Arabidopsis thaliana: one gene and its partners. The protein of the gene in region 3 interacts with the protein of the main gene of each other region in a pairwise test. Each region holds a gene or a part of one and is shown on either strand. Other genes may lie near its edges.

Region 1 (9,297 bases), on a different chromosome or scaffold from region 3:
TTTCTGGAAAAGTGGAGCCTCTTCCACCGGAACCACCCAAATTTCTTAAGGTATCCTCGAAAAAGGCTTCTGCTCCTCCACCGCCAGTTCCAGCACCGCAAATGCCATCTTCTGCTGGTCCTCCACGACCGCCCCCTCCAGCTCCGCCACCTGGTTCTGGTGGGCCTAAGCCACCACCTCCTCCTGGACCAAAAGGACCACGTCCGCCTCCACCAATGAGTCTGGGCCCAAAAGCACCCCGACCGCCTTCTGGGCCAGCAGATGCATTAGATGATGATGCTCCCAAAACAAAGCTGAAGCCATTTTTCTGGGATAAAGTGCAAGCAAACCCAGAACATTCAATGGTTTGGAATGATATAAGATCAGGATCCTTTCAGTGAGTAAAGTTGTTAGCTTTTTGCCTCGGTATACTATAACCATATAACTTTGGCATAGTTACTGAATACAACTTGTGATGGTTTTCCAGGTTCAATGAAGAGATGATAGAGTCGTTATTTGGATATGCAGCAGCAGACAAGAATAAAAACGACAAGAAGGGGTCCTCTGGACAAGCTGCTTTACCTCAGTTTGTTCAGATCCTCGAACCAAAGAAAGGACAAAATCTATCAATTCTTTTGCGTGCTTTGAATGCGACAACTGAAGAAGTGTGTGATGCACTTCGCGAAGGTAACCTTCTTTTCTTTCTTTTTCCTTAGGTGGAAAATAAGATTTTGATTTTCTGGCAACATTCTCCTATGTGTTCGCTAACATAATTTTCGTTGAATTAGGAAATGAGCTTCCTGTAGAATTCATTCAGACTCTGTTAAAGATGGCACCAACACCAGAAGAAGAACTAAAACTTAGATTATACTGCGGTGAAATAGCTCAACTGGGATCCGCTGAACGATTCCTGAAAGCAGTCGTTGATATCCCTTTTGCTTTCAAGCGTCTAGAAGCACTTCTATTTATGTGTACACTCCATGAAGAAATGGCTTTTGTTAAAGAATCATTTCAGAAATTGGAGGTACGTTTCCTAATCTTTTACAAAAACTTTGTTCTGAAAAGAAAAACATATTACAGTTTCTTAGTCTTTCTCAAGACTCTTTCTTCTCCAATCTAAACGTATATTCTTTGGTGTATATGAAAGGTTGCTTGTAAAGAACTTAGGGGAAGTCGGCTGTTCCTGAAGCTCTTAGAGGCAGTTCTTAAGACCGGAAACCGAATGAATGATGGTACATTTAGGGGTGGTGCTCAAGCTTTCAAGCTGGACACTCTTTTGAAATTAGCAGACGTCAAGGGAACAGATGGGAAAACAACGCTCCTCCACTTTGTTGTTCAAGAGATAATTAGGACTGAAGGTGTAAGAGCGGCTCGTACTATCAGAGAGAGCCAAAGTTTCTCAAGTGTTAAAACAGAGGATCTCCTAGTCGAGGAAACCTCTGAAGAGTCAGAAGAGAATTACCGTAATCTTGGACTTGAGAAAGTTTCAGGCTTGAGCAGTGAGCTTGAACATGTAAAGAAATCTGCAAACATAGATGCCGATGGTTTAACAGGGACTGTTCTTAAAATGGGTCATGCTTTGTCGAAAGCTCGAGACTTTGTCAACTCAGAGATGAAAAGTTCAGGCGAGGAGAGTGGGTTTCGTGAAGCGCTTGAAGATTTTATTCAAAATGCTGAAGGAAGCATCATGTCCATACTCGAGGAAGAGAAGAGAATAATGGCTTTGGTGAAAAGTACAGGGGACTATTTCCATGGCAAAGCAGGAAAAGACGAAGGGTTGCGTTTGTTTGTGATTGTGCGCGATTTTCTGATAATCTTAGATAAATCCTGCAAAGAAGTCAGAGAAGCACGAGGAAGACCCGTAAGGATGGCCAGAAAACAAGGCTCAACAGCCTCAGCATCTTCTGAAACTCCAAGACAAACGCCTTCATTAGATCCTAGGCAGAAGCTGTTTCCAGCTATTACAGAGAGACGCGTGGATCAGTCTAGTTCAGATTCAGACTAAAAAGTACAAATCTTTGGTTTCGTTACCTGTTAGGACATAATTCATCTGCTGTTTTGCTGAGAGCTTATCTTTTCCTGCTGTGAGTGTAATGGCATTAACCCTCAAGACATGTCAGGTTTTAGTCACTGATTATGAGTTTTTCAGATGTAATTTAAAGAGGCATAGACACTGTCACTCACTTGTACCAATTTTTTTCACATTTAGTCTTAGAAATACTTTCTTTTCATATTTTTTCAATCTTGTTGGCCATAGAATAATAATCCTTTGTGTTTTTTTCTTTCTTGTACTATTACTATCAACAACAAAGAAAATCTTTATACTTCTACAAAGTGCAGTGTTTGCTTGTTGAATAAGGCATCAGCATTTTTGAAAGACATTATCATTCATATTTCGCAAAATACTTTCATATATTCACAAAAACAGAAACAACATGTCGAAACAGAAACGGAAAGAAACAAATCCCTAAAGGAATTAAAAAAAGCAAAGATACAAAAAGTGAAAACATCTAGCTAGTTATTAGGTTATTAGATCTAAAGCCAAAAGAGAGACGTGTTCTATATCATTGTGTTAAAAGACCTAATCTTCCTGAGGCTTTGAAGCACCAGCCTTCTTAGGGAGAAGGAGATTGTGGATGTTAGGCATCACTCCTCCATTAGCAATCGTCACATCTCCAAGAAGCTTGCTTAGCTCCTCATCGTTTCTGACCGCAAGCTGAATGTGACGAGGAACAATACGTGTCTTCTTGTTGTCTCTTGCTGCGTTTCCAGCTAATTCAAGAACCTGAACAAATTCAAAACACACAATTCATGATCAAACTTTCCAAATTTGAGAACTTTAACAACTCAAATCAAATTGGTTACCATAATTGAAAAAAATTTAGAATCTTGCGAGAAAACTACAACGATTCATATGATCTCGATTACCATCAACCAATCAGAACAAACCCAAAATTAGGTCAATTACAGAACTACAACAATTCAATTCAAACACGAATCTAATTCAATTTTTGCATGTCAAATTCGGAAAATGTAAGAACCCTAGATTCGTAATCGATCACGCAAAAACAGAGTCAGACGAATAAGATCGGAAACGGAATGGGAAAGAGAGAAAAGACGATGTAATTTTACCTCGGCGGCCAAATATTCGAGAACGGCGGCGAGATAAACCGGAGCACCGGCACCAACACGTTCGGCGTATTTACCGGCTTTTAAGAAACGAGCGATACGACCCACCGGGAATTGAAGACCGGCTTTGCTACTCCGAGATGTAGCTTTCTTCGCCCCACCGGATCCAAGAGTTTTTCCACGACCAGCCATTTTCAACAACAACAACCCACAAAGAGCGCAAAAAAATCGAATTTTTTTCTTGACGAAATTAACAGAGAGAAATCTGATTGTTGTTTATATATGTTGGAGGATTAAGTTATTTGACCAATAAGAATAGAGTACGCGGATCGAAGAGGTTTAAACCGTTGATTATAATTTAATGAATGGCTACGATCTGAAGTTTTTTCTCCCACCGCTTGAACTTTTGCAGTTTTTGTTGGTTTCTTCTGGACGAGGGAATTTCCAAATTTTCCATATAAACCTCAATTTATTTTATGCCCTTGAAAATAATATTATGGGCTTGGAACGCTGAACAAATCGAATTGAGTTTACGAAGTAAATGGGCCGCTTATGGGTTTAGAACTCGCCCACCAAACCCCAGCGAAGAAAATGATTTAACATAGTCACTTTTACTAATTCTATTGTGTTGTTCATATTTTTATTGAACAACCATTGTGGAATTTTATCACTATATAAATTTGATGAATTACTAATCATATAAATAACGTTGGATTACTAAAAATGTCACTATATAAAAATGTTAAAGTGAGAAAAAGAACATGCATGAAAGAGAAGAAGTTTTAAGAGTAAATTGTGTTCACCAAATCTATTTCAATATTTATGGATCCAAGTCATACGGAAATTAAGATATATCATAGCTAGATTGGGGCAGACCAGTCAATGTGGTGTGGTCGAAATGATGGTCCTGTTGGTTTTAGGTTTTAGGGCAAAACTGGGTAACCCAGAAGAAGGACATGATCTATCAACATGTTTCAAAATTCAATTTCTAATTTAATGTCTTTCCTTTTGAATTCAATATGGCTATAACGACACCCACACCTACTTCCATTATCTACCCTTTGCGATATCTACAATTCGTAATAAATGCACTTTCAAAGTTTGACAAACTCACAATTCAGATTAGAGTTATTGTGTTTTGATCATTAACGAACTGTTATTGTCATCCATTCCTTCATGTTTTGAAGTCGATATGATGTAAATACTACAGTGTTACTTTATTAGGAACAGAGATAATGCAAAAATATTGATGTACTATCGTTGCGGTTTTACTTTCGTTTATACAAATAAATCTTATATTTCACCGTCCGCTCGTATAAACATATTATGTCAACTATTGTTATTTATCAAACTAGAGTGATAAAGTTACATGCATGGTGTAATAATAAGAAGTTTAGTATAAATTTTAATGGCTTGTTAAAATGTATATTGATTACTGTCTTTCCAAGAAATGTCAGAATGTTTCATATGCTCTTATGGGGCATTTAAGAGTGAATTGACAGATGCAAGCAGAAAGAAATGAAATCAATGTTCTTTTATTCAATTTTATTTCCTATAGCCATGCTATTAATTCATTAGTAATTCTCATTTAGTTGTCACTGACCAACAATTTGTCATCATTATTGCTTGGATTAACGTATTTATGAATAGTGAGTGAATACATATGTAGTTTTAGCCTGACTAGGTTTCAGACATCATAGAAGAATAATCAACTCTTTCACCATATAATCTCAAAGGTAAATTTAGAAATAAAATATTTGTTTCTTCTTGCGAGTAAAAGTACTTATTAGACCGGTGAACCTGCTCACGCACAGTCTCATTGATTTATGATCGTATTAACTGTAATTAAATTCTGTAAGAGAAAGTTAAAGGAAATTCCAAAAGTTTAGAAGTATGACATGAATTCAAGATTCTCTACACGGTAACTATAGGAAAAAAAGATCTTTTAAAAACCAAAATCATTGAATTAATCACGATTTATGGCTAATGTTAATTTTGTTAATGAATGCAAGTTCATGAAATTTAGCTTGTTTTTTCTTTTCTTATTACCGTGCATTAAATCAAGTTTACCACTAAAAAGATTCCAATATTCAGTTAATGTGATAATTCGTAAATATGGACTAGTCTATAAATTACTATTTCATGATTTATGAACATGTTGTGAAGTCTTTTCAGTTTTTACACTTTTAAGAATGGCAAAACAGTAAGTGAAAGAAACATTCTCTCGTGTTATTACTTATTACATCGGTGAGTTGAGACATCGTAGACCTCCTTCAGATTCATTTGCTCGTACATGCCTTCTAGAAAGAAAAGAAACTTGGTTTTTTAATATATCTCATAAGACAAAATCCACTTATTATTACCTATCATCCGGCGACAATATTTAATTTATATTTATTATAGCATCACTTCCAAAAATATTCAGAAGAAGAAGATAGAGAGAAAGAAAGAGAGAGATATCGACAACAACAATGGAAGATTCAAGCAAAAAAAGCCAAAAGAAGAAGAAGAACAAAAGCAAGAACAACATCCCAACTGTTTGGTTCTCACTCAAGAAATCCCTCCACTGTAAATCCGAACCATCTGATGTCCACGACCCAATATCCACCACTAAACAGCAACAACACCTCTCCACAATCTCCACCAAGAAAATCTCCGGCATATCATCCGGCGGAGCCGCCGTATGCGGTGGTGGTTTATCAGGATGTTCAAGATCAATAGCAAATCTCAAAGACGTAATCCATGGAAGCAAAAGACATTTCGAGAAACCACCAATAAGTAGTCCTCGTTCTATTGGAAGCAATGAGTTTCTAAATCCTATAACTCATGAAGTTATTCTTAGTAACTCAACTTGTGAGCTTAAGATCACTGGTGTCGGAGACATGGCTTCACCTGTCGGAGCAGCGGATTCCGGCGGAGGTGGCGGTGGAGGAAATGGTCGGTCTACGACTTATGTAGGGATGCTTAGACCAGGAACACCGATGCATTATCTTAACCATTCAGCTTCTTACAGGAGCCAAACAAGAAAGGGTTCGTTTGCTTTGTCGGAGAGAGATCGAGGAGGAGGAGGAGGAGGAGAAGGGTTAGGGTTTCATACAAACAGAAGGGTTTCATTGGAGATGAACAGAGAATCCACCATTAATGGAGGCAACAATTCCTCTGTTTCTTGTCATAAATGTGGTGAACAGTTCAATAAGCTTGAAGCTGCTGAAGCTCATCATCTCTCTAAACATGCCGGTAAGTAAATTTAACAAATTATGCAATTTAGGCTTCATAGTAACAAAAGTTAGGTTATAAAAATCGCAACTTTTATAAAGAAAAAAACAGAGTCTTGAAAAAAACAGAGTTTTGCAATTAACAATTCAAAGCTAAAATGTTAAACTTTAACAACATTTACTCTAAATTTCCGATTTTGATTATGCAGTTTGATTCAAAGTTTCTCAAATTTATATAACTTTCATCTAAATTGCAGTAACGGAGCTTGTAGAAGGAGATTCATCAAGAAAAATAGTGGAGATAATCTGCAGAACAAGCTGGTTAAAGTCAGAGAACCAATGTGGAAGAATCGATAGAGTTTTAAAAGTACACAACATGCAGAAGACATTAGCTAGATTCGAGGAATACAGAGAAACAGTTAAAATCAGAGCAAGCAAACTTCAGAAGAAGCATCCAAGATGTCTCGCAGACGGTAACGAGCTACTTAGGTTCCACGGAACCACCGTGGCTTGTGGTTTAGGTATAAACGGGTCAACAAGTGTTTGCACGGCGGAGAAATGTTGTGTCTGTCGGATTATACGAAACGGGTTCTCGTCGAAACGGGAGAAGAATAATGGGGTTGGTGTTTTCACGGCGTCTACTAGTGGAAGAGCGTTCGAGTCGATTTTGGTTAACGGTGGAGATGAGAGTGGAGATGTTGATCGGACGGTGAGGAAAGTGTTGATTGTGTGTAGGGTTATCGCCGGAAGAGTTCATCGGCCGGTGGAGAATGTGGAGGAGATGAATGGGTTGATGAGTGGGTTTGATTCTTTGGCTGGCAAAGTTGGTTTGTATACAAATGTGGAGGAGCTTTATTTGCTTAATCCTAAAGCTTTGCTTCCTTGCTTTGTGGTCATTTGCAAGCCCTAAAACATTTAGCATGTTGGGGAAAAAGATTGAATTTTCTTTTGTTGATAAATTTATGTATCGTATAATGAGAATTGAAATCAATAGATAATTGATATCTAGATTTTACTTATTTCAATTTTTTTTGCCATTTTTTTTTGAAATGGTAATGGTGGAATGAATCGATTTATTTGTAGAGTTGTCATTTTGTTTAAGCCATTCCACAATATCGATGATAAAAAAAGGAACAAAAATGTAAATAAAATTTCTTCCACATTTTCATGATCAACTTAAATTTTCTTCACTAAAAAGTGTGTCTTTTAGCTTATTTTTTACAAGTCTACGGTTTGATAAGGTTTACCAATTCTTTTTTGTCAAGTTTAGTTCTGATTAACCATTATACTTAGAATTTTAACAGCAAGAAAACTCTCTTACGTAGAGAGACAAACAAAAAAATAAAAATTGTTCATATTATGTTGTAGATTAAATTTGTATGTTAGTGTATTAAATTGATGTGAAATCAATGGTTAAAGATAGATGTCGAAGTTTCTCAGAGTGAGAATTTAGTTTCACGGGTGGCCCTGTTGGTAAAAGTGCTACTAAATGCCAAATTTCATCCAGTAATAAAACGTTATTGAGAAAGAAAGGGAACAAGAAATTCTTTTCTCCTTCATTTTTTTTTTTCAACGACGAAACATCAAAGAAGTACAATGATACGATTACAAATTCGGATATAGAACAATACAAATGAATGACTAATGAATGCCTCGTTGGGGACTTGTTATATTTTATACTACAGTTTGCATTTTTTTTCTTCATTTTATAGAATACTAATGAAACTAAACATTTTTAAAAAAATCAGCTATGACATGAAAAATTTATGGAATGTTGTTTCAAAAAATTTAATAATTAATTGTGATTTGTGAACAATGTTTTTACGAAGTAACGTAAACAATGTTCATATAAACAATAGAAGGCACTGTTTAGAATATACATATTTACTATCAGTTTCAAAATAGTACATTGTTAATAATAAAGATTATTAAAAATACTACTATACGTAAATAGTGATGTTTCATTGTTTCATGTACTATTTTTTTTTCAAATACTGTTCTGTAAGAAAATATTCGTTTTTATTTTCCTTCAAATATTTTGGAACTATCCCCTTTTAGTCCTGGATTATGTACAAGATAGTTTTATATAAAAGGCATGGCACATAAGAACAAAAAATAACATTGATGATAATTAGGCATTTTGTTAAAACGAATAAAGTAAAATGGTCCATTGGATTCATAATGGTAGCGAGACAAAGCTTACGTCAAAGGTGACGACAAAATTCTATCCCATGCAAATATTTATTTGGAGCTTTAAATATTTCTATCTGCAAAAGCCACCCACTCATAATTATCCTCTGAGAAAATGAGAAAAATCTGAATCTGTGAGCCCAATTATAAGCCGAAGTTTCAAATCTTGAAATTTTGAACTCTGAAAATAAATATATAGTGGATAATTATATACTTATATGTAATTATATATAGTTTTCTATATAGATATGTGCAGGGCAAAATAATATGATATTCATTTTGATTCATTAACAGTTAACTAACAACTAGTATGTTTTTTTTTGCTGACAATAATAAATACAACTAATATGTGTGACATACATTTTGATTCATCGCGGATAGTATATGGGAATGAAATTTGCAAATTGGTAGTGCACAATGTAAATAAATATGTCAAAATTTAGGGGAAATACATGAATAGCGTATATTCCTATTAACTTTGGATTGAAGATGAATTGTAAATGTGTTAATTGAGGCAGAACAAATTAAAATCATGGATAAAACAATAAAATTTGGATATCCATTTTCTCTAGTTTTAATATTATAAAAGGGGTATGAATATATTGTAAATATTGGAATGAATGACAACGAGGCCTGATATGGACAGTGTATCTGCTTCAACCTAAGTAACGTTGGGATCATACCACATGACATCTCAAAGAGAATTAATTTTGATTTTGATTTTTCAGTCGACAACAATATTTTTTTCTTTTGGTCAGAAACACTCGACAAAAATCTATGTCGT
Region 2 (12,501 bases), on a different chromosome or scaffold from region 3:
GTAATAATATAAAATATTGTATGATTTTCTTCTATATGATTTATTAATTATTTTAATTGGAATTGCATCTCGGCAATGACACAACGATGATTCTAGCAAATACCGCTAGGTTATTAGTCATGGTCTAAAGACTTCAATATTTTATATTATTTTTTTACATTTTATTTGATTAAACTAAAACCATTTGTATTTTTATTTTACATACTAATAAATATGTTACCAAAGAGTATAAAAGGTCTTTCAATTATGTGTATATATTAGTGAATTTTTCTAATCCTTTGGCAGTTTTCTATAAATAATATTTCTTAAAGTACGCAAATATGTTTATATAGCAAACAGTTCTCAAAAATATCACACTTAAGTTTGATCTTTCAAAAATACTACTTAAGTTTTTGGTTTTCCAAAAATATCACAAAACTAAATTAAATTTTCAACTTTCAAATCCTAACCTTAAACACTAAAATCCTACCCTTAAAAACTACACCCTAAATCTAAAATAGGTAACCCAAACCTAAAATTTTAAATTTTGAACTCTTGGACATCAATTTGTTGTTTTGTGGTATTTTTGAAAAACAAATTTTTTTTGGTAGTATCTTTGAAATATTAAACTAATAGTGACATTTTTGGCAACAAAACTTAAAAAATGTGGTATTTTGAAGAATTTATCTTATATAACAAATATACAAATTAATAATTACTGCAAAAGTAGTTTGTCTCGTCTAAATTTTATGGATTATATTTGTAGAAAATTATTGTTTCCTTTTTTAAATTATTTGGTATATTAACTATTTAAAAGTTTCATAAATAAGAATTTTAAGATATTTAGTTCAATCACATATTTCTAAAGATCTCATATATATTTATTATTTTATGATATCAGTATAACTATATTTACCATAATATTTATAACTCTAAAATCAATTTCAGAAAATATACCAATTAACTATCAAAAATAATAAGTTAACAAAAATCATTGTACCTCAGATAAAACTTTAATACTGTAATCAATACTGAAAGTTTTTAAGATTAATCAATTCTATCTAGTTCAGTATTATGATAAGATTCTTTTAAAGATCACTATTTTATGCATACTTTAATAAACATGCCCGTATTATATTATCATCGGTAAAATAATTTTAATTGGAGATATTATCTGAAACAACTACCATTTCACTATTTTTGGATGACATTTACATTCTACATAGATAAGTTGAATATTTCATATTAATTACTATATAATTGATATTTTGTGTAATTTAAGAGAATCTGGCTTCAAATTATCAAAAAATAATAAAGTCATTCAAATAATTTTTATCAATCCATCAAATGAGATAGGGGAGCTATAAATATTATTGGAAATAAGATATCACCATTTTATCATAAATATATGTTATTATCAGTAACAAATTTATCGCCAATAACAATAGAGGAATGTATTCCATTATTATTTTAAAAACAGAGTTAGTAAGTAATGTAACGGCATATATCTATTGTCAATTTATCAGAAATAATAATGAATTTGGAATGGTCTTCATATTCTATATAACGGTCCAAACAAAATAATTCTATCTTAAAGCTCTCAAAATTATAGTGTTATCTCATGGTATCCGTTTTTGACGATTTTCATTTTTTCTGTATTTATCACATAAATAACTAAGTTTTCTATATTCATAAAGGAACATTATTTAGTGCAAAATTCATAAACTCATTTCATCCGATAAACAATATATCGAATGTTTTTCCTTGAATCTAATCTTTTATAATATACTCTCTTAAAATAAATATATAAATAAACTATTTTTAGATGATAATTACATCATATAAAGGTTAGTGTGTATATATATATAAAGAGAGAAGGATATATGTGTATGGAACACAAAGAAATAGTTCATAGTCATGCCGGGCTTAATCATATATATATCTCAAACCTATCACAATTGTGGCCGAGTTGCTAGAATCACATAACAATTTTATCATAAATATTTTTCATTAGTGATAACAAATCAATCGCTAATAACGTAAGAAAAATATGTTCTATCTAAAAAGTAGCAAAGAATATGATTGCATAAATAATGTAACGGAGTATATTTGTTACAACAATTGCTAAAAAAATCATACAATCATTTTATCATAAATAGTTTTCATTATCGATAATAGATCAATCACCAATAACGAGAGAATACATAAGAAGACCCTTTAACAAAAAAAAACGAGAGAATACATGTTTTACTTTAGAAAATAGCGACAAATAATTTCAGATAACAATATAACGATTTTTTAATATATTAAAATATGAGATTAAGTTTAGAATATTAAACAATTAACGAAAATGATGTATCAGTAAATCAAAAACATATTGACCATATTACGCTTGTTACTTGTTAGTAATTTTTTTTACGCCGCCATTTTTGTTGCTATATTTAAAAAAAATATTCCAATAATATTACTATTAGATATGAAAAGATCACTACTAATTAAAGGTGGATCTTTCTGGCAGATTTGGATACATTGTACAAATGAAATGAGAAGATAATAGTCAAATAAATTTGTATTGCATACCATATATTGATTGAATATTAAGATTATGAAATGTTACAAAAATAGTAAAATTCAAATTCAAATAAAAATATAATAAATCAAAGTTGAAATTTACTCATAGACAACTCAAATATTAATTATTTGGTTTGTAATATTCTGCTATAAATACATGAGCATTTTCATTCTACAAACACCAATCCTATATTTTAGCTTCTCAAATATCACTAAAAATGGTGAAAAAAAGCAAAGGTCGTCAAAAAATAGAGATGGTCAAAATGAAAAATGAAAGTAACCTTCAAGTTACTTTTTCAAAAAGAAGATCTGGACTTTTCAAAAAGGCTAGTGAGCTTTGCACACTTTGTGGTGCAGAAGTGGCCATAGTTGTGTTCTCACCTGGTCGAAAAGTCTTTTCTTTTGGTCATCCAAATGTTGATTCTGTAATTGATCGATTCATAAACAATAACCCTCTACCTCCTCACCAACACAACAACATGCAACTTAGAGAAACTCGTCGAAATTCGATTGTTCAGGATCTGAATAATCATCTTACTCAGGTAATCTTACTCTTATTTTTAAGTATGATTAAAACAAAATAGTGTTTTCTATGAATCATAAAACCCAAATTTCTATGGTTAAATTCTTTTTTTATTTAATATATATAAGTAAAAGTTTTCGCAGGTGAATAAATAATATATAAAAAACATTAGACAGTCTTTTTCTCCATAACTAGAATAGATTTATATCCTAATAGTATGTTAGATAAAAATGCCGATGAAATGTTATAGAATCATATGGTATGAAAATTAATAATATTATTGGTGTTTTTATTTGTATATATATTTGCAGGTGTTGAGTCAATTAGAAACAGAGAAAAAGAAGTACGACGAGTTAAAGAAAATAAGAGAAAAGACAAAAGCCCTTGGGAATTGGTGGGAAGATCCCGTTGAGGAACTTGCGTTATCTCAACTCGAGGGGTTCAAAGGTAATCTTGAAAATTTGAAGAAAGTAGTTACAGTCGAAGCTTCCAGATTTTTTCAGGCAAATGTTCCAAACTTCTATGTGGGAAGTTCTAGTAATAATGCTGCTTTTGGGATTGATGATGGTAGTCATATCAACCCTGATATGGATCTCTTTAGCCAAAGAAGAATGATGGACATAAATGCCTTCAACTACAACCAGAACCAAATTCACCCTAATCATGCATTACCACCCTTTGGAAACAATGCTTATGGTATTAATGAAGGGTTTGTTCCAGAATACAATGTGAACTTCAGACCAGAGTATAACCCAAACCAAAACCAAATCCAAAACCAAAATCAAGTTCAAATCCAAATCCAAAACCAGAGTTTTAAGAGAGAAAACATCTCTGAATATGAACATCATCATGGTTATCCTCCCCAGTCTAGATCTGATTACTATTAACCCTTTGTTGTGTGATCCAACTTAAGTCTCTAGACAAAAAGTTGTGTGTTTAGGTTATCTTTATTTCTTCTTATTTATGTTTCTACATGTGTTGTTGTTGTTTTTCTTGTTCTTGTTTAAGTATTATGTTGTATTGTGTTGTTTCATTTCAAAATTATGTTATTGCTATATATAAATTATATGTGTCGGAAACAAATGCATTACGCCTCTGAAAATACTAGTCTGCCATGGTTACGTTTACGCATTTTGGGCAATTGCAGAATTTTAAACACAGAAAGGTAATAATCATAATCAATCATGTACTATTTTAAAATAAATTTGCAAAAAAGCATAATGAAAATTTCTGTGTGCACCATTTTTCAACTAAAATAGTACATACATTATCCCACATATTTTGGTACATTGTAAAAAATGAAATGACAGCATTACAATGGCTTTCCCTCTAATTTCATTCCTTATAATGATGAAATACAGATATTGTGAAATATTCCTAAAATGATAAAAATCTAATTCTAATATAGAAAATATAATAAAATTAATGTTAAATTTAAGGAAAATATAATAAAATTAAGGTTAACTTTTAGTTGAAAAAAAGGCTAAATCTATGTCACATCATTCTATTTAATTAATCCGTGCAGTATACTCTAATATTTATTTTCCTTAAAAAAGATTAAATCATCATCAAATATCTAGTATGTATTAGATATCAATCTAAAAATAAATAAAAAAATTGTAAGAACAATACAAGAGTATCCACATATGTAAGAACTTAAGAAATGAAATTTTCAAAATCAAGCAAAATACTTCAAAACTAATATATATATTGTAATTTTGAAAACCTTAAAATCCAATGGCATGCTTTACACATCCCATAAACTCACATATCTCTCGAGTAAAACGGTACACATGAGACATCCATGGAGACCAGAAGAAACACAAACAAACACATAAATGGATTCAAAGACAAAGATAAAGTTGAAGTTCTTTTGTGAGCAAAACACACTTTAAAACATAGGAAATAAGCTTCTTTATGGGTATCAAACCCTAGTGATTGTAGGAGAAGAATCAGGCTGGCTCACAGAAGATGACTTTGATGCTTCCATCATGAGAGCAGCTTGCTCTAAACAACTCTTGTTATCGTCATTCGCATTCTCCACTTCCTCTTTCGTGTATAAGTGTATCTTCCACACCACATTGCAGAAATCACTATCCATAGCAGAAAGCCAATTTCAAGTTAGGAGAAAAGAAGTTGTGATTGACCTTTAGAAGGTATGTATAAAGAACTTACTGCCATGGATCATCGCCAACGACCATCATATCGTTCTCACTATCAGTATATAAGATCCTCCATCCTTTTTCAGGATCCCTGAGAAGCCCTTCCATGTTGAACAGCCGTTCAAGCTCCATAAGGAGATCATCATACCCGTTAAGTCGCGACAAATCAATAGCTCTCCCCACTTGGCTTCCTTGCTTGTGAACCTTTTGATAACAATTCAACACAAGAACTGATTAGAAGAGACATCTAAAACTGCAACTCAAAGTAGCCAAAGAGATGATAAAGAAAACGTTTTACCTTTGTACAGATTCTTTTGCTCGAGCTTTGCGGCTTAGATGCAGGTGTCTCCACTGGTAAGGAGAATCCGAAAAGTTTACATCCTGATGAAGCATTCATATTCAACTCACTGCCTTTCTGTTTTCCCATCATATCAATCTTGAATGGCAAATCAGCTGTAACATTATTTGGTAGGCCACCTTCATTTTGTGCATCAAACTTTCTAGTCTCTTCACCAAAGTTTATTGCACGTGAAGGGGGACCCGAGGATTGGTTTCCCGCATTGTATGGATTCTGATACGGAACATGAGTGCTCCTAATCCCATGCAAAGCTAGCGGATAGTAACTTGACTTGTTGGCTTGGTAAGCAAAGGGATTAGGAGCAGCAGCTGGACTGAAACCAGCAAATTGCGGGAATGATTTAAGCGAGCAAATTTCTTGACCTTGCAAGACCCTTGGAAACCTATCCAGGTCCATAACACCTGAACAAGCTGGGTTCACGCCAGTAGCATCTACAAACTCACCAAATCGATCCTTGACTCTACTCGACACAAGAACTGGATTTGCATGAGACTGCATCGCAAAATCCAGTATCCGGCGGTTCATAACATCAAACCCCTGTGAGGGTGATGCAGAACCTATATTTTCTTGACCTTGCAAGACCTTAGAGGGTCTAACCGACTCCTCAAAGTCCAAAAAACCACCCCTTTCTGCTGCAACCAAGAACAGTTATCAATAATATACTGATGAAAATTGAGAACTGTTTGCAAAAGCATATACTCCAAAGAGAAGAGAGGTCTATATAATTTACTTGTTATGGGGTTTCCGGGTGGGGTAGTATCCAGTAAACCTGCCCATGGCCTTTTAGGCCTTGGAGATGACTGAATGCTCAAGTGTGGGAGAGAAACCGAGGGATCAATCTCCCAAGGTGAAACTCTTTCTTGATGATCACTCACAAAAGACTCATCCCATCGCACCTGCCAAACAAATGTGAAAGATTTAGATATCAATCTTCGAAAATGAAAAGTCTTCTACACGTTAATAGACAGATACTCCAAAAAGATGAGAGGACGCACCAACAAGCACCTCCATTTAGAGTTTGGCCACCTATACGGGTCCAAGTCACAGACTCCAGTCACTACACCAGCGCATCTGCAAGAAAGATCGAATATAAATTCTCGTCCAACAATATTAGCTACACAACACAGAGAAAGAAGCAAGAAAGAAACAATACCTTCTCTCAGGAGAATCGTCCATTTCAAATCGCATTCTAAATCTTGTGCCTATGCAAACAGGACTCCTGATGCTTGTGATATACTTCTCATAAGGAATCACAAACTCTGCATGCGTCGCTCTGTATATAAATCCACAAATCAACATTATAGTTCTTTATTTCTTACTGAACCTAGTTAAGAATCATTACGAATGGCAGCTTTTCATTTTTATCTCACCGTGGACTGTAGAACACATGAAACATGCTTTTTGTAGATACAGCATTAGCCACAAGAGACAGAATGTTTGAACATGAATTCTTCTCAATGATTGAGTCAGGAAGTCCATTTCTTGGCCGTGCTGCTCTTCTGATTCCTAATCTCAGCTCTCCTCCTTCGTCTCTATAAACGCCGATATTAGTAATGAATGTAAACATTATTGGATCAAGGGCTTCAAACCACCAAAGCAGAGGGAAACACCATGAATCTACATCACCATTTGATAAACTGAAATCTTACGATTACCTCAGAAAGAGAACCGCATCACCAGAGACGAGATTCTTTTGACTGACAAAGATACTCCAACCAGTGGTGAGTAGATGCCTCCTTGGTTGACCTATATTAAAAAGAGACAGAACTAAACATTTTGGTTTCACTGACGAAGAAAAAAGAAACGAATAATAACAAACTCAAAACCACCTCTATAGATATGGCGAAACTTCCACTCTACTCCATGGAGGTCCTTTGCAATGAGCTCTTGAGATGGCCTCTGTTGTTTGTAGTCCTAACACCAGTGGAAAATTCACAAATAAGGCTTATAACAAGAAGATAAAACCTCTCCTTAAAAAAAAAAATAAGGAAATGAGATATAGAGAATTATACAAGAGGAGCAAAACAATCTTCAGCGGCTCTTCTAGGTACAGAGAAGCCTCCATGTGTGCTTGTGTCAGACGCTGTTAAGGTTTTACAGAACATATGAGGTGTCCGCTTGACGGATGAGCTTCCGTTCCTCTCTTCCTCCCCTCCTAACTCCTTGACCTCTTTCCCCTCCCCATTTAGCATCGAAAACTATAAAAACCAAGAAGTTACTTCAGCATCTTAACATCACAGAGATTATAAATGAAACTCAACAAGACCAACGGTTTCAGTGATTCCTCTGATCCTGTTAAACCAATGATGAGTTTGAGTCACTTAGAGAACAAACAAGATTATTCACAATCTCTTTAAACCGTAGCATCTAAAATCACACCTAGAATCTGGAATTACACTAGTGATATCAAAAATCAATTGAATTGTCAAAAAAGCAACAAGTTTGAGTAAAAGAGAGTACCTCTTGAAGTGGAAGCAGAGTGACTTGAGTGTAGACCTCATCGGTGTCCTTATTAGCCTTTTGTTTCCCCAAAAGAAGGAACCAAGTTTGCAAACAATTACCACAATTAGAGAAAGAAAACAGAACTTGTTCAAGAATAGTAAAATAGAACACAAAAGGAATGTTCTTTATTTGGGTAGAGTGATACAGACAGACTTACAAGCAACTGGACATTAACCACCCTGCAGACGATTTGGGGATTAAGGTCAAATTTGGGGATTTCAAGAGGAGACGAATATGAAACCATAGCATCTTGCTCCAAATGACCTTGAGGGAAATAGACAACTACATTGCCTTTCTTGGGAAGACAAGTGAGAGGACCAGCACAAGCATGCCAAAGCTCAGAGTAAATGGAAGATGCAGAGCCTGTAGAAGATGATGACGATGATGATCCGGAAGAGCATGAAGAAGAAGAAGATGGTGAAATTCCAAGCCTACCCTTGTCAATTCTTGTTCCTCCTCCTACTCCTACTCCTACATCATCATTCTCCTCCTCTTCCACCTCCGCAATCTCAGTATTCAAGTCAAATTCCATTGAAAAAGCTTCTCTTTTAAGAGCAAAAGGAGACAAGAAGAAAACAAAAAGTTTCTATTTTTAATCAGATTACAACAAAACAAGTAAAACCCATCAAAGGAAAGTTTGCAAAATTCGAGCTTTGAAGTGACAGAATTCGGAATTCCTCTCCTTTTTCAGCTAAATTTCACAAAGAAGAGGCAAACTTAGCTATTGACGGGAAAGATGAGTCATAAGTGTGGAATAACGAATCAGAGACAGAGAGAGAAGAAGAGAGAGGAAGGAGGAATCAAATGAGAACAAGGGTTTCAGAGAAGGATTCTTCTTCCTCCATTTGCAGGTACTGAGAAGAGGGAGCACAAGGAACAGACATAGACTAAAATTTGCAGATTGGAAAAAAATATACTTTTTAAAGAGCAAAAAAAAAACAATTTAGTGGAAAGAGAGAGAGAGAGAGAAAGAGAGGGAGAGATAAGCGGGGGAGACAAAGCCAAGACAGAACAGAACCCACACCTACACTCTCCCTTTCTCCTTCTTCTTCTTCTTCCTCTTCTTCTCTCTTTTTTGTTTTTGTTTCCCAATAAAGACTTATTTATTCACATGAAATTTTATATATAAAAACTATATTTGTGTCAATATACACACGTTTACACAAAATAAAAGTTTTCACTTTTTTGCTAATTATTACCGTTTTTGATTTTCGTCCTTTTTGTTGAAAGAAGAAATGTTAAAAGTTTAATTAGGTGCTAATAAGACTAATTCAATCCATTGTCTAGATTGTTTTCTTCAAAATCAACTGTTTTTTAAATACGTCAAACCATCGATGAATCAATCGTTTAATTATTCATACTAGACTATTCACTCAAAATGAACCATCAAAGTTTATATGCATCTATTGGATTTATGGTATTACGAAATTGACGTAACCCTTTGTTTTTCTCATTCACACCATAATTTTCTTTAACTTGTGTGAGTTGTGAGGAATAAAAACCGCAAATTGATTAGCTTTTTCTTTGCATACTCTTACAAAGGAAACAGTATCTCTTTGGAATCTTTCTTTGTTCTTTCTTTTTTTATGTTATGAATTTTTATTTGTTTTCGATTTATTAGAAAAAATGCTTTTTCATTGCGTTGTTAAGAGCCAACCAACCGGCTAAAGACAGAAGAGTAGGCTCCTTTCGATTTTGTAACAAAAGCACTTTTTCTCTCTTTTTCTGAGACAAACAATATGAAAATCAGCATTTTGTTATTGATTAACTAAAGTACTGTCTGTGTTTAAAAACCTAATCAACTAAAAAAAACTTTCAGCGGTCTGTAATATAAAATTTATACTTCAATAACCACACCGACTCTTTCAGTAAAATAAAACTACTCAAATACTTACTACTTATTGGATAAATATCTTCAAATGGGTTTAGTAAAAATAAATAAAATATATTTGATGGTCCAAATGATTGCTTCATAATTTGAAAACATTTATATATACATTTTTGCAGTCATTTTAGCAAATAAATCTTAGAGTTGAACTTATTTACAACCCAATGCCATTAGCATTAAATCTTTTTTTCAAAATAATTAATTTTACTTTAAATTTTTAATTTAAATTGTCAATCACATTATCAATCAAATTTAATCCAAACAAACTTCACATCAATCCCTTAAAATTAGCATAAACGTATTTTATTAACAAAATTTTTTGTTTAAATAAATATTGTTCTTACTAAATATTTTTTGTTTAAATAAACAAATCATGTATTTGAACTTATTTACAATGTCATGCTACTGACATTAATTATTTAGGCATGAAAATATTTATTTAAAGATTTAAATCTTTTAAATTTTGCTTTTAGAGTTATTATATCATTTACCTAAAAGGCAAAAAATATTAATTTTTTAAATATTATTATTTGTATATTTAAACTTCATAAAACATTATTAATATTTGAATTTATAAAAAGTTTAATCTATCAAAAATAATTAACATCATTATATAATATATAAAGTTTAAAAAAATCTCAAAAAAAATTTCGTCATATTTTGTAATTCGAAATTTTAAGAATGAACATATATTAACCAATTGGCGAAAAATGTGTGGGTACAACGTCCCGCAACGACTAAAATATTTTGACAATGATTCATAAACATATTATAAATAAGATCAACATTAATAAAATAAATAGTTTTTTTTTGTGGACGGGTTTGGCAGGACGGGTTTGGCAGGACGTTACTTAGTAACAATGGTAAACTATAAAATAATTTACAAATTTTTATATATATTAATTTTTAAAAATGAACTGTGTCCGCGGTGTACCGCGGGTTAAAATCTAGTAACATGTATTTTTGCTCATATAATATTAGTTTGCTACTAATTCATATAACCTGATCAAAGTATCATATTATGTTTTGTATATTCCTTTCACAATTTCGCAACTTACTTAATTATCTACTTTTAAAAACATTTGATTATGAGTAATAACCTTTCGTAACTTCATTGGAGAAGAAAAAAAAGAATAAGAAAAGAAGAAAACAAAAAGGATGATGGGATGGGAGAAGGAGAAAGAATGAGTCTCTTCTTCAGAAGTTGTGAGTTAGTGACTGAGTCCCAACAACTAACAAAGACCCCCTTGATATTTGCTGCCTCTTTGGCCCCCACCTTCTTTATTGTTTTTCTTACATTTTTCATGCAACATACTCCTTCTAAAACTAGCTTAATATTCTCACTTTTTTTCTTTAGTACTTCTGATTAGAAATATATATCTTGTTTATTCTGATGTTGCACCATAATTCGAAACGTGTAATCTCTTATTCTTAATGATATGATTACCATATTCTTCTGTCTGCTGATCATAACTTTTAGTCAAAGATTATCTTTTTTTAATTAGTACTAAAAAGAAAGAGTGGATCGTATCTCATTTTCATGTTTCTTAATTTCCTAACTAAAATAATATTTTACTAAGAAAGTCGATTTTGTACAATTTTAGAAAAGACATCTAATTTGATTATATTGTGAGAAGTCCCACGGTTGAATTTTATGATGTGAGTTAGTTTTGGACCAAAAACTCAATATATATAATTATATACACGTAAATTTGTCAAAATACAACACATAAAGCAATATAGCTCTGAAAATAATAGAATTATAGAAATAAAGATTCCACTTAAATTTGTTTGTGACTTTCTCCTGCTGAAAGTAATTAAGCATCCATTTGAAGAAATGAGCCACTTGGATGCTTTGACTCTCCACTCAAAGTAAGCTTGTGTTTATAAAAAAAAACCTAAGCATATATTCATCCTCTATTTGTATTTATCTCGTCTTTTACATGCCTCCATTTTTTTTTCTTATCCTCCTTTTTTTTTTTTGGTAAAACTCTTATCCTCCCTTTCTTACGGTACAAGCCATCACGCTCGGTTCTGATTTTCTTCTTCTCTCTGTTTCAGTTTCGTTTCATGCGGCATACATGTAAATTACTAAATTGTAGAGATCATAACGTTCAATTTATCGAGTTTTATTTCTGAAAATATTATATTTTCTTTTTTGTACCGAGGTTTCAAAATATTCATGTTTTTTTATGTGTGGAAAGAATAGCACATATCCATAGCCATATTTGTTGCCTGATTTCTTTTGACCAAGTTGATTGAATTAGCCTATGGATATTTGTTGTTCTTTTCAAATATATGGCAATTTTTCTTTGTACTATATTTTTAATATGTATTTTTTGAGTTTACGAGATTCCTGCATGTACATACTATATAAATTTGGCGTAATTTGTAATAAGAATCAATATATAATGAAATCATACTGTTTTTTATAATATTGATATTTAAGTAGAGATGGTTTTATTAAAAATAGAAGAAAAAAGTTTATTGTTTGGCAGAGCAAAAAAAAAAAAGGAAA
Region 3 (9,700 bases):
CCCGAAACCACAGCATGTAATATTAGTTTTTCTTTTAAAGTGTTGTGATGCGAAAATTTCATATTTGAGTCCAGGTTTTTAAGAGCTTGGGTTTTCCATTAGTCCATGTTATGCCACAAATATTCAAAGATTTTTTCTTACAAGCAATACTCAAATATCAAAACTAAGTTTCTATCAAAAAACTAAACAAAACATCAGCCAGGTAAAATCAGGAAAAAATAAAGAATTATCAACAAATACCATGACTACAATAACCAAACTGCTTTCCATTATTGTTTTTGTCAAGCAAATTGTATTCAACATTGAATTTCAAAACAGAGAAGATCATACGGTGTAGAATTAAAAACAAGATTGAAACGATACATTATAAATAACGACAAAGGCTTGAAAATTTATCAGATAGGAAGTTCCGACGAACCTAAATGAAAGTCTCCATGACAGACTCCATATTGAAGACTAATTTCAAAAGATTAAAGAGAAACTCATGATAATAATAGCTCGTACAGCTAGTGCTTCTTCCATCGAAGTAGAGCTTTCAAGAAATCACTCCAAAAAGGAGTTGTATAGGAAGGATCTCTCCAAAACATTCCAAAGCAATACAATAGGAGAAGCTTTTACCCTTTTTGGGTCGTGAAGGACCATGCTTTGTGCTCTGTTCTCACAACATTGAGAACTTTGTAGTAGAGCGAAGCTGGAAAAGAGTTGTGGCGTTGTGGATGCATGTGGTACTCTTATGCCAAACCTCGTAAACACACGCATGACATGCTTGAAGCAGTGCAATGGAGATGTCATTGCTTGTAGAAGTTGTTGATGACAGGCGGATGGTGCTGGAATCATTCAATAGGTAGGGTTGTAGGCAACAACTTTACCATAATTTTGTTTCAGATTTGAGCTGAAAATGAATAATTTAAGTGCAAGTGGTGAATTCCTAGATTCTCCCTCAATGCCACATTAAAGCAAGTTTGTTCAACATGACATCTCAAAAAAAATCCTATCAATAGTAGGGTTGAGGTTAAAAATAAAGAGTTATAAACTGCGAAAGCATGTTTAGGAATTCTCACCTTATGCCATACCAAAACCAACTAAAGAACTAATGGTTTAGATATTCTGATGTTATGCCAAGCATTTAGGGAGGAGAATAATTCGGAATCATTTCATCAATTATCCAAACTATCATTCATTGTAGGAGTAACTAGAATTCTTCAGTTCATTAATGGGAAATTAATAATAATTTTTAATTTATTGTGTCAAATAACTAACTTTCTGTAAAATATTAAAAAAGAAGGAAAAATGAGAGATTTTCCAAACACTTCAAAAATCACTTTTGATTTAATAAAAAATTTTCTGTCTCTTAAAATAAAAGCTCTATGTTCTCTATAAAAAAGCTTTCTCCGCCGCTGCCTAAGATTACTTGTTTCAGTGGCTTTTTTCAGCATCGGAAGCGAGGTTTCTTTACTTTCTTTCTTTAGTTTTGATTTCTTTTTGTTTTGGTATGATCTGAATCATATTTTCTTCCAATGGTTTAAGATCTAAATTCTCATATCTAGATCAATAAAGTCTAAATCCTTTCATCTACGGGATTTGCTGCTTGTTTTTTACTCCTTCATCTACAGCTTTAGTTCTGGTCGTTCCAACCATGCCAGAGGTAGATCTATTCGATTCTTCAACGCCTTAGATGCATACTTCTCACCATTGAAGATCTCGATCTCCTTCCTTTCTTTATGAGATTTTTTTCCTTTGGGTCTTCGGGTGTTGGTTTGTCTCACCGCCGTTTACGGTAAGAAGAATATTGATTTTATTTTCTTTGAATGGATCTCTAATCTCAGATCTATATTTTGTTTTAATTTGGATTTAGAATTTGTATTAGATTTTTGAGTTCTTAAGTGATAAGTTTGGGAAGTTTTGGATCAGTTTTAATATGTTTTTTTTATTCTGGAATTTTTCCTTTTTGTATATGTATTTGTCTCTAGAAAATCCGTTTTCTCGCCGGCTTAACTTCTGAACTGGTTATTTTTCTTACCCGGCATATGTATTTTACCCCTTATGATATTTTTTATAAATGAAATCTTAATTTTTACTGAAAAAAAAGAAACAGAGAGATTTTCCAAAAAGGAAAGAAAATTTTTATGCTTCTAGTGGTGAAGGGCACATTAGCATGAAGAGGATGGACTGAATTTGAAAGACCCATGAATATGCACATGCTCTTGTTCCCTACGCCTCTCATGGGTCCTGAATTTAATAACGTATTCCCACGTAACTAGGAAAGAAAAAAGAAACTTAAAACCATGAATATTTGTTTTGTAGTTTTAAAATTGGTTTTGTAATGAAGATTTTAGTTCGTTTCAAAATCTTTTTGGAAACCATTTTAGTCAAAAAATATACCAACAGTTTTCTTAGTTTTCTTAAGAAATTGTTATGTGAAATGTTTTTAGATACATCAAAAATAGTTACAAATTTCAAATATAATCTGTAAAGCCAATAAATGAGAAAATAAAGAGGAAAAGAATAATAAAGTAGGAAAAGTGGAGATAAATTATTTAACGTAAATTTACCTATCATAAATTATATATAGTATTAGCATTTTAAATTTTAAATAGCAAAAATACGAACTCTATAGATTTACTATCACAATTACATATTAAAAAATGATTTCTACTAATTAAGAGATGAAAACAAAAACACAGACTAATTTCAAAAAAAAAAAAAAAGACATATTTAAAGTTATTTTTTTCGTAAACAATTATATTTTCCTATATACTTCCAATATTTTAAATTAAAAACACATGATCATAACAATACCAAAAAAAAAAAATCAATGCATATTGTCCTCTTTTTTTTTTGTTCATGATCTGTTCTTGAACTTCTCCATTGCTCTTGGAGCTGAAAAAAAAACACGAGCATTATTGGAAAAACAGAAAAGAGCCACTTATAGAAACGAACAGAAAAGAAAACTTACCAAGTCCAATTGCTTCGGATCCTTTCATTATGCGCAAACGTTTGCATGACTCGACAAACATCCTGAAATCGGGATTTGGGTTGGTGACTAAATTTAGAAATCTATTGAAAGTGAAAGAATATGTGCCAGCTACAAATGAGGTAACATATTGATGAGTTAGTATTTATATATAAACATCTTCTCTGTCTCTGAGTTCTGTCCCATGCCAACCAAAAGATGGCTGTGCGTGTTTATAACACATGGATATTGATTATCATTTTGTGTATTTTTTTGATAAGTAATATCAATAATAATGCTTTAGAGAATATTGTTTTTTTTGTTTAGAGAATAATTTTGGTCATAATAATGAAAGCAAGAAGAATGAGGAAACTCACGGCCAGGGGACATCACCAACGAGCATCCAGTCACCATCTTTGTCCTCGTAGCTTGGAACATACTCAGAACTGTTCAACAGATCCATCACTTTACTCTCGTTCATGAAATCTATCATCCCTTGTGCTCCATAACTCCCTTAATTAATCAAAATCCCAAAACTTATCATATTAATTAGTCGTATATGGAAAAAACTGTATCGTTAAAAAGAAAAAATTGTAAGTAAACACAAAAATAATAATGATAATTCGACTTATATGTCTGAAAATGCATACCCATGGTAAAGGAGCTGAACATTTTGGCCAAGGCATCAGAGAGATCCTTGTAGCTGGTGTACATCTTGAGGTCAACCTTCCGAAGATAAGGAGCTCCATCCATGGAAACCTTCACAAAGGCGACGGTTCCTCCACCACTACTCATTGCCTCCTCTGCTTCGCCGCTCTTCTGATTAGCCATAACATTTTTCCGGTAGTTCCTCACCGGTGGCCAACCCACCACTTGTGCTCTGCATAGAATATAACAACACACACACACATTCAATAACGTTATTACTTATGCATCCTTACATCTTTCATATATATGTATTTTAAGAACTTTTATATCAACTATTAGTCTTTTTATCTCAAAAAAAAAAAAAAAAAGTCTTCCCTTTTAAGGAAGGTCTTCTTCTTAAGGAATTGTGTAAATAGAACTTACTTAGCAGGAGGCTTAGAAGGGTCTTTAAGGAAGGTCTTCTCCTTGGGAGCTCCATTAGTGTTGAGATCCACATGTCCTTGTTTGTTAGATTGAAGATTAAGTTTGAGATCAACGGTCTCGGAGAAGCCTCTCTTGTTCCCAACACCCGACTTGGCCGGACTTTCAACGGTTTCAGTGCCTCCGGGGAGGCCAAGACAAAGCTCCGTCTCCTTAAGGTTCATATCTCTTCTTGCTGTCTATATATGTCTTAAATCAGAATATGTTTTCTCTCTCTCTCGATAACTCTTGTTGGGGGTGAAGTTTGATAAGAGGGGAACAAGAATGAGGTAAGGAGATAGAGTCGATAATATAAGGGACGAAGAAAGAGACTATAGTACTATACTATAGTGGTAGAAAAAAAACGGTTTAAACCCGTGATTAGTCGTCTGACTTTTCTAATTCTTTAACTATTAAAATACAAAGGTCTATTGTGTATCTGCTGTAGTGCATGGAATCCCTACATTTTCTTGCAATGTGGGTTCTCAACACGTGGCCTTCTGCTAAACGTTGGTAGGTTGTTTTAGTAAATCTCACTCTTTCATGTCAATAACCTGAAAAGTATAGGTGATGAGTGATGACCGTTGATTGTTGAATGATATTGTTACATCTCTTAGGTTTTGAAAATACGAACATACGTTTGCCCAAAATATGTTAAGTAAATAAAAATGAAAATATATTAAGATTCCGAGTAAATAAAAATGATATTATAAAAACATGAGTACCTCTTTCAACATGTCTAAGTAATGTCTTTATTGATCACTTCTATGATTAATGTACTTTTTTAATTGCCTACCAATTTGTTAGACGTTGCCTCCATTGGTCAACTCTTCACGTATCACATCACATGTATACAGAAATTGGGCGGTAAAAATTCCGTGAATCGTATTTGGTCAACATTATTATATGATTTAATCATATAATTATATTTCTTAAAACTTTCGAAGTCAGCATCGGTGAAAATAGTTATGACCAACTAAGTTTGATCCTAATTAAGACGTACAACAAATAATCAATGATAACAATCTTAGTATATATTTTACTTCAATTTGGACCATCTTCTCTCAACATTGTCCTGAAATTCCGGGAAATGATGGGGCAATTTTAGGAAAATGGGCTTGTTCAGTTGTCCATTAAATCATTATTAAAGAGCATAATCAAATTAAAATAAGCTTGTCTTCCGAACCTTCCAATCATGTGGTTCAAGTATAACCACACATGAACGTATAATTTGTTCGACGGAAAGTGCGGCTTTGTGACTATATTTATTAGCATGCTCAATTACATTTTCTTTGTTTAGACGTATTATAATCAAATTTCTTATCATTGATTTTAGTTAATCATTGGATATCAAAAATAATAAGAATATAATGAGCCGTTCAAAACTTAAATAAGCTAAAAGTGCACATGGATTTTACTTGCGATCTCTATATAAACTATACCACCCATTGTTTTGTGGTTATGGGATAATATCCTTTGGAAATCTTTGGAAATAAAATGACTATTATTTTAGATACAATAAAATATTCCAATGATACATAATCCTTTTAATTAATAACACCATAATGAATACTTTACTTAAAAAGTTAAAATATCCAGCAAAAGTTGATATTCAAATCTGATGAAAATATTAAAAGTTACAATCTAACTGAGTATTAGTAAATCAAGATCATGTAAATTTAATATTATCGACATATACAGTCATTTATATTTATTTTTATTAGTATTCAAATAATTATTATAAAACTATTTGGTTGATAATATATCGTTAAATTTGATCATATTACAAATAAACATTTCTTTTATGTCAATAACATTACTTACTGAGTGTTAATAGCTCAATTGTTAAAGACTATAAGACAAAACCTAGAAATCACCAGTTGTAATGACATTTGGAAAGAAACCATATAAAATGCTCTAGTTTGAGAGGACGTATGTTCCTAGGCCTAAACTTTTTAGTAATAAAAATAAAATAAAAAGCAACATCACTTATGCGGAAGCCTATCATATATAAACAACATTAATTAGCACAAACCATTAGTAAAACAGATGCACTACATTCATGATGGACTATTTTAGCATTAGCTTCCGAGTTCCGAGAGCCCAACGAATAATTCTACTTGCACTACATTGGAGATTTCTGGTAAACTTGTTTCTACTTATCTACGTAATTTGCCGTTTCTACTTTCTAGGAGCATAGAAAAATTAAATAAATGTTTTGCCCAAGAAGTAGTCTAATTATTTTCAGATTGGTGGTGCACTGTCGAACAAAGACACATTGCTTGTTCCTTTTTTTGGTTTTCTTGATAGCAAGAACAATCTAATAACCCAAACAATACTAATTTTTGAAATCCTTGAAAGATCGGATTTTATTAACATTTAATGCATAGAATATGACTGAAAAACACGAACAGTAGATATTTATTGATGGGTAACTCGATCTCCGACCTATATCCACAAGAAAACACATCTTCCCTAGTCAAAGTACTATTCAATTGAATCCGGTGAAGATAGTGAGACAAGTCACATCCAATTGGGGAAGCAATAAACATACCAAACCCTCAAAGGCTATGTTTTTGCCTTGTCAACATCCCTCACTCCCCCAATAACCCATTGTTTCTATGACTCCCACCATTCAAATTCTCATTCATTTTTATCTTTTTAATTATTGTTCTCTTTTAGATTTTCAATAACGTTTCTAAACCAATATAATACATATTCATAAAATGAAAATACCTTTTCCTATCTCGCAGCATCTTTCATACTCATCATCTTATTCGTTGTCCATCTTCCCAACCACAAATTCTTCTCTGCATAAACACCTTTCATTAGATGCAACAACATATGCACTTGTCCCTCGAATTAATTTTCTCATCAAATCCTTTTGTTTTCTTCTTAACTGGTTAATTAATGCGTACGATCAATTATCTTCATGCACATATGATTAGGGTTTTGAATCTTATCTATTTCAAGTTCTACAACATGAAGCGTAAATATGGTGAACTTCTATAGTTTGTGGATACTATTGATTTTTGGTAGATGTAAAGAGTGGATATTGTTTGACTACGTGGATCTATTTTTCATTATGCATTATAGATGGTAGGCTCCCGCAGTTCCGCTTGACTTTTAGCCATAAACTCATTTACTCGTTCTAGTGGTAGTGGAGAGGCATATCGTATTTAATTGATATCGTATTATACAAATTTAAAAATGTTTACCTTATTGTTTTACCTACGGATGTCTACGTAAATGTAATCCCTACAATTTTTTTATGTGACCCACCTATGTTTTTAGTTCCAAAAAAGGTAAAGGTGTGGAATTTGGACAGTCGAAGTATAGTATATCCAAAAGTTTTGTCAACGATACTATCCAAAACTCGAATTATTTGTTTCTTTTTTCATATCATCTTTTTTTTATGGCAAATAATTCGAGTTTTGGATCTAAATGTGAGAAAAGTTTTGTGATAATTCAATCATAATTTTTACACGAGAAAAGTTTTCAAGGCACATTGTTTTATACTTATCTAAATTATGTGACCCAACGATACTACTAGACAAGACGAGACAGGTCCAAACAAAGTAGTGACTGATTGGTAGAAGGAGATTTATGAGATGGTCCGGGTTATAATGTTAAGCCATTTTCAAGAAGTTATACGTGTTGGTTCTTATGATATGTAAATCTATTGTGGTCTCTCCTGTGACCACAACAGATTGCATTTGACCACGTGATTTTCTATTTAGCAATCAATTCACGATTGGTATACACAACCCTTATATATATTCCAAACAAAATAATTAATTCTTACATCTATCAAAACTATATTTAAAACGAAAGTCAGACTAATTTCAACATTATAACCATCATGGTTAATCTAAACGAAAGTTAAGAGTAATTTCAACATTACAACCATCATATGGTTCATACTTTTTTTTTTTTTTGAACAACATATGGTTCATACTTTAAATGACCATATTGTTGACGAAGTGAAGTTGATTCTAGGTCTGGACTAACAAACAAACTGATATGTTCATAGATGGAGAACGTATACGACCCAAATTTATTTATTACTTGTAATAACATATTAATAGTGTAAGATATGTGAACACCTTGATAGTCTAGTGCTTGAGTGAATTTGATTTGAAACTTTTTATGTAATTTTTCTGGCACGTGGTATCTTTTTCTTTTAACATCTTTGGATCAACATTGTCCGATATATGGTCTATTTTTACTACGCGAGGTAACGAGATTTAGTAGAATCGAATTCTGATAGAAACGGTGGAATCAGATGGACTTAACTACTTGATTAAAGACACATCCCTCACACGTGACAAACCAAAAAAAATGTTGGACATTTGGATAGTCATGCCAATGGAATGTACTGTACTTGTTCATAGTTGTAAATAACACCAAAAATCAACTGAACTAAGGAAAGAGACTTTAAACATCTTCCCAAGAAACGAAAACTCGAACACATATTCACAAAATGTTCTGTTACCAAAATTACTTCTCATCTGAGAAAAAATAATCTAACATAAAGAATAATTAATTATGAACATACAAGAATATGACAACTGAATAAATATATGATTCCGATTTAGCTACGCATTCGTAAACTAAAATTTTGATTACGATTCTTTATACCTTAGCAGAGATCAATTATTTGTTTCAAAGGTTTTGTTTTTTAAAACAATAGCTGATTATCGACGTAACTACAACTTTTGAATTTGTTTTTATCAATATATACTCTGTCACGTTATGTAGTTGTACTCAAGCAGTTGGTTATTTGTTGTTTAGCAAATGATTCAGTTTGAATCATCTGTTACAATAATATACATAGAACATCAACAATAGTACTGTTCTTGTAAGTGAAGCAAAGTCCCGATTTAGGACCACTTTTTAAGTTTCTTGGATCTAAATGTGTGAATAGCGACATCGCATTAATGTATTACATGAAAGTTTATGGTTTTGATCTGATATTAAGATATATATTTATATGATTCAATAATTCCTTACAAAGTCAAATTTTATTTTTATATCCCAGTGGTTAAATTTATATTACTTGATGATAAGTGTAAAGTTGGAGTATAAAGGATAATAATGCAGATCAACTTATAAACAAGGTCCTACATACATGCATAGATCACAAACCATAGACATAAATAAGAGAATCTGGCACTGATAGTACGATACATAATGTTGGTGGAACCAGAGACATAGTACTAGGACCATGGTAGGAGCTGACCATAGATAGGCATCTTCCTCTGCTTAAAAATGTTTCAACGTATTATATAAATTCTTAAGATAAAGTTTCATATGTTTGACCAAAAAAAAGAAAGATAAAGTTTCATATATCTTTTTGTGACCGTGAAGAAAAAAACATAAATAAAGAAGTCATCCGAGAAGAAAAAAAATCATATAGACCTTTTTTTCACTAAGCCTAAATTTGTAAGTAGTTATAGGATTTAGTTTGACGACCGACGGAAAGCATGGGAGAAAAAGAGATGCACAAGCATCCTCTTAATTTTTGTATGAAATTAAAAGTAAAAATAAATAAATATAAATATATATATATATATATATTATATTCCCTTTTAAAATTCAGTTTTTACTATACAATTATACTGTAAAATAAATCTTGGA

What was found.
Region 1: the proteins of IAA14 (region 3) and RAT5 interact in a two-hybrid assay, tested with the Arabidopsis thaliana proteins (one large-scale study listed by BioGRID).
Region 2: the proteins of IAA14 (region 3) and ARF4 interact in a two-hybrid assay, tested with the Arabidopsis thaliana proteins (one large-scale study listed by BioGRID).

The regions. Positions count from the first base shown.
Region 1 is NC_003076.8:22,190,543-22,199,839, reverse strand, and holds RAT5 (Histone superfamily protein), read right to left. Parts: upstream 3,554-9,297; 5' UTR 3,301-3,553; coding exon 3,112-3,300; intron 2,765-3,111; coding exon 2,561-2,764; 3' UTR 2,348-2,560; downstream 1-2,347. Other genes in the region: Fh5 (formin homology5), read left to right, coding at 1-376, 467-666, 768-1,003, 1,127-1,984; AT5G54630 (zinc finger protein-like protein), read left to right, coding at 5,580-6,345, 6,581-7,233. UniProt on the Arabidopsis thaliana protein: Core component of nucleosome. Nucleosomes wrap and compact DNA into chromatin, limiting DNA accessibility to the cellular machineries which require DNA as a template.
Region 2 is NC_003076.8:24,303,561-24,316,061, forward strand, and holds ARF4 (auxin response factor 4), read right to left. Parts: upstream 9,225-12,501; 5' UTR 8,628-9,224; coding exon 8,253-8,627; intron 8,111-8,252; coding exon 8,054-8,110; intron 7,792-8,053; coding exon 7,606-7,791; intron 7,508-7,605; coding exon 7,423-7,507; intron 7,340-7,422; coding exon 7,249-7,339; intron 7,126-7,248; coding exon 6,964-7,125; intron 6,867-6,963; coding exon 6,747-6,866; intron 6,665-6,746; coding exon 6,589-6,664; intron 6,490-6,588; coding exon 6,324-6,489; intron 6,223-6,323; coding exon 5,534-6,222; intron 5,440-5,533; coding exon 5,249-5,439; intron 5,167-5,248; coding exon 4,998-5,166; 3' UTR 4,695-4,997; downstream 1-4,694. Other genes in the region: AGL62 (AGAMOUS-like 62), read left to right, coding at 2,769-3,092, 3,385-3,960. UniProt on the Arabidopsis thaliana protein: Auxin response factors (ARFs) are transcriptional factors that bind specifically to the DNA sequence 5'-TGTCTC-3' found in the auxin-responsive promoter elements (AuxREs). Could act as transcriptional activator or repressor.
Region 3 is NC_003075.7:8,345,679-8,355,378, forward strand, and holds IAA14 (indole-3-acetic acid inducible 14), read right to left. Parts: upstream 4,586-9,700; 5' UTR 4,246-4,585; coding exon 4,025-4,245; intron 3,834-4,024; coding exon 3,604-3,833; coding exon of another isoform or gene 3,503-3,603; intron 3,467-3,502; coding exon 3,331-3,466; coding exon of another isoform or gene 3,327-3,330; intron 3,019-3,326; coding exon 2,901-3,018; downstream 1-2,900. UniProt on the Arabidopsis thaliana protein: Aux/IAA proteins are short-lived transcriptional factors that function as repressors of early auxin response genes at low auxin concentrations.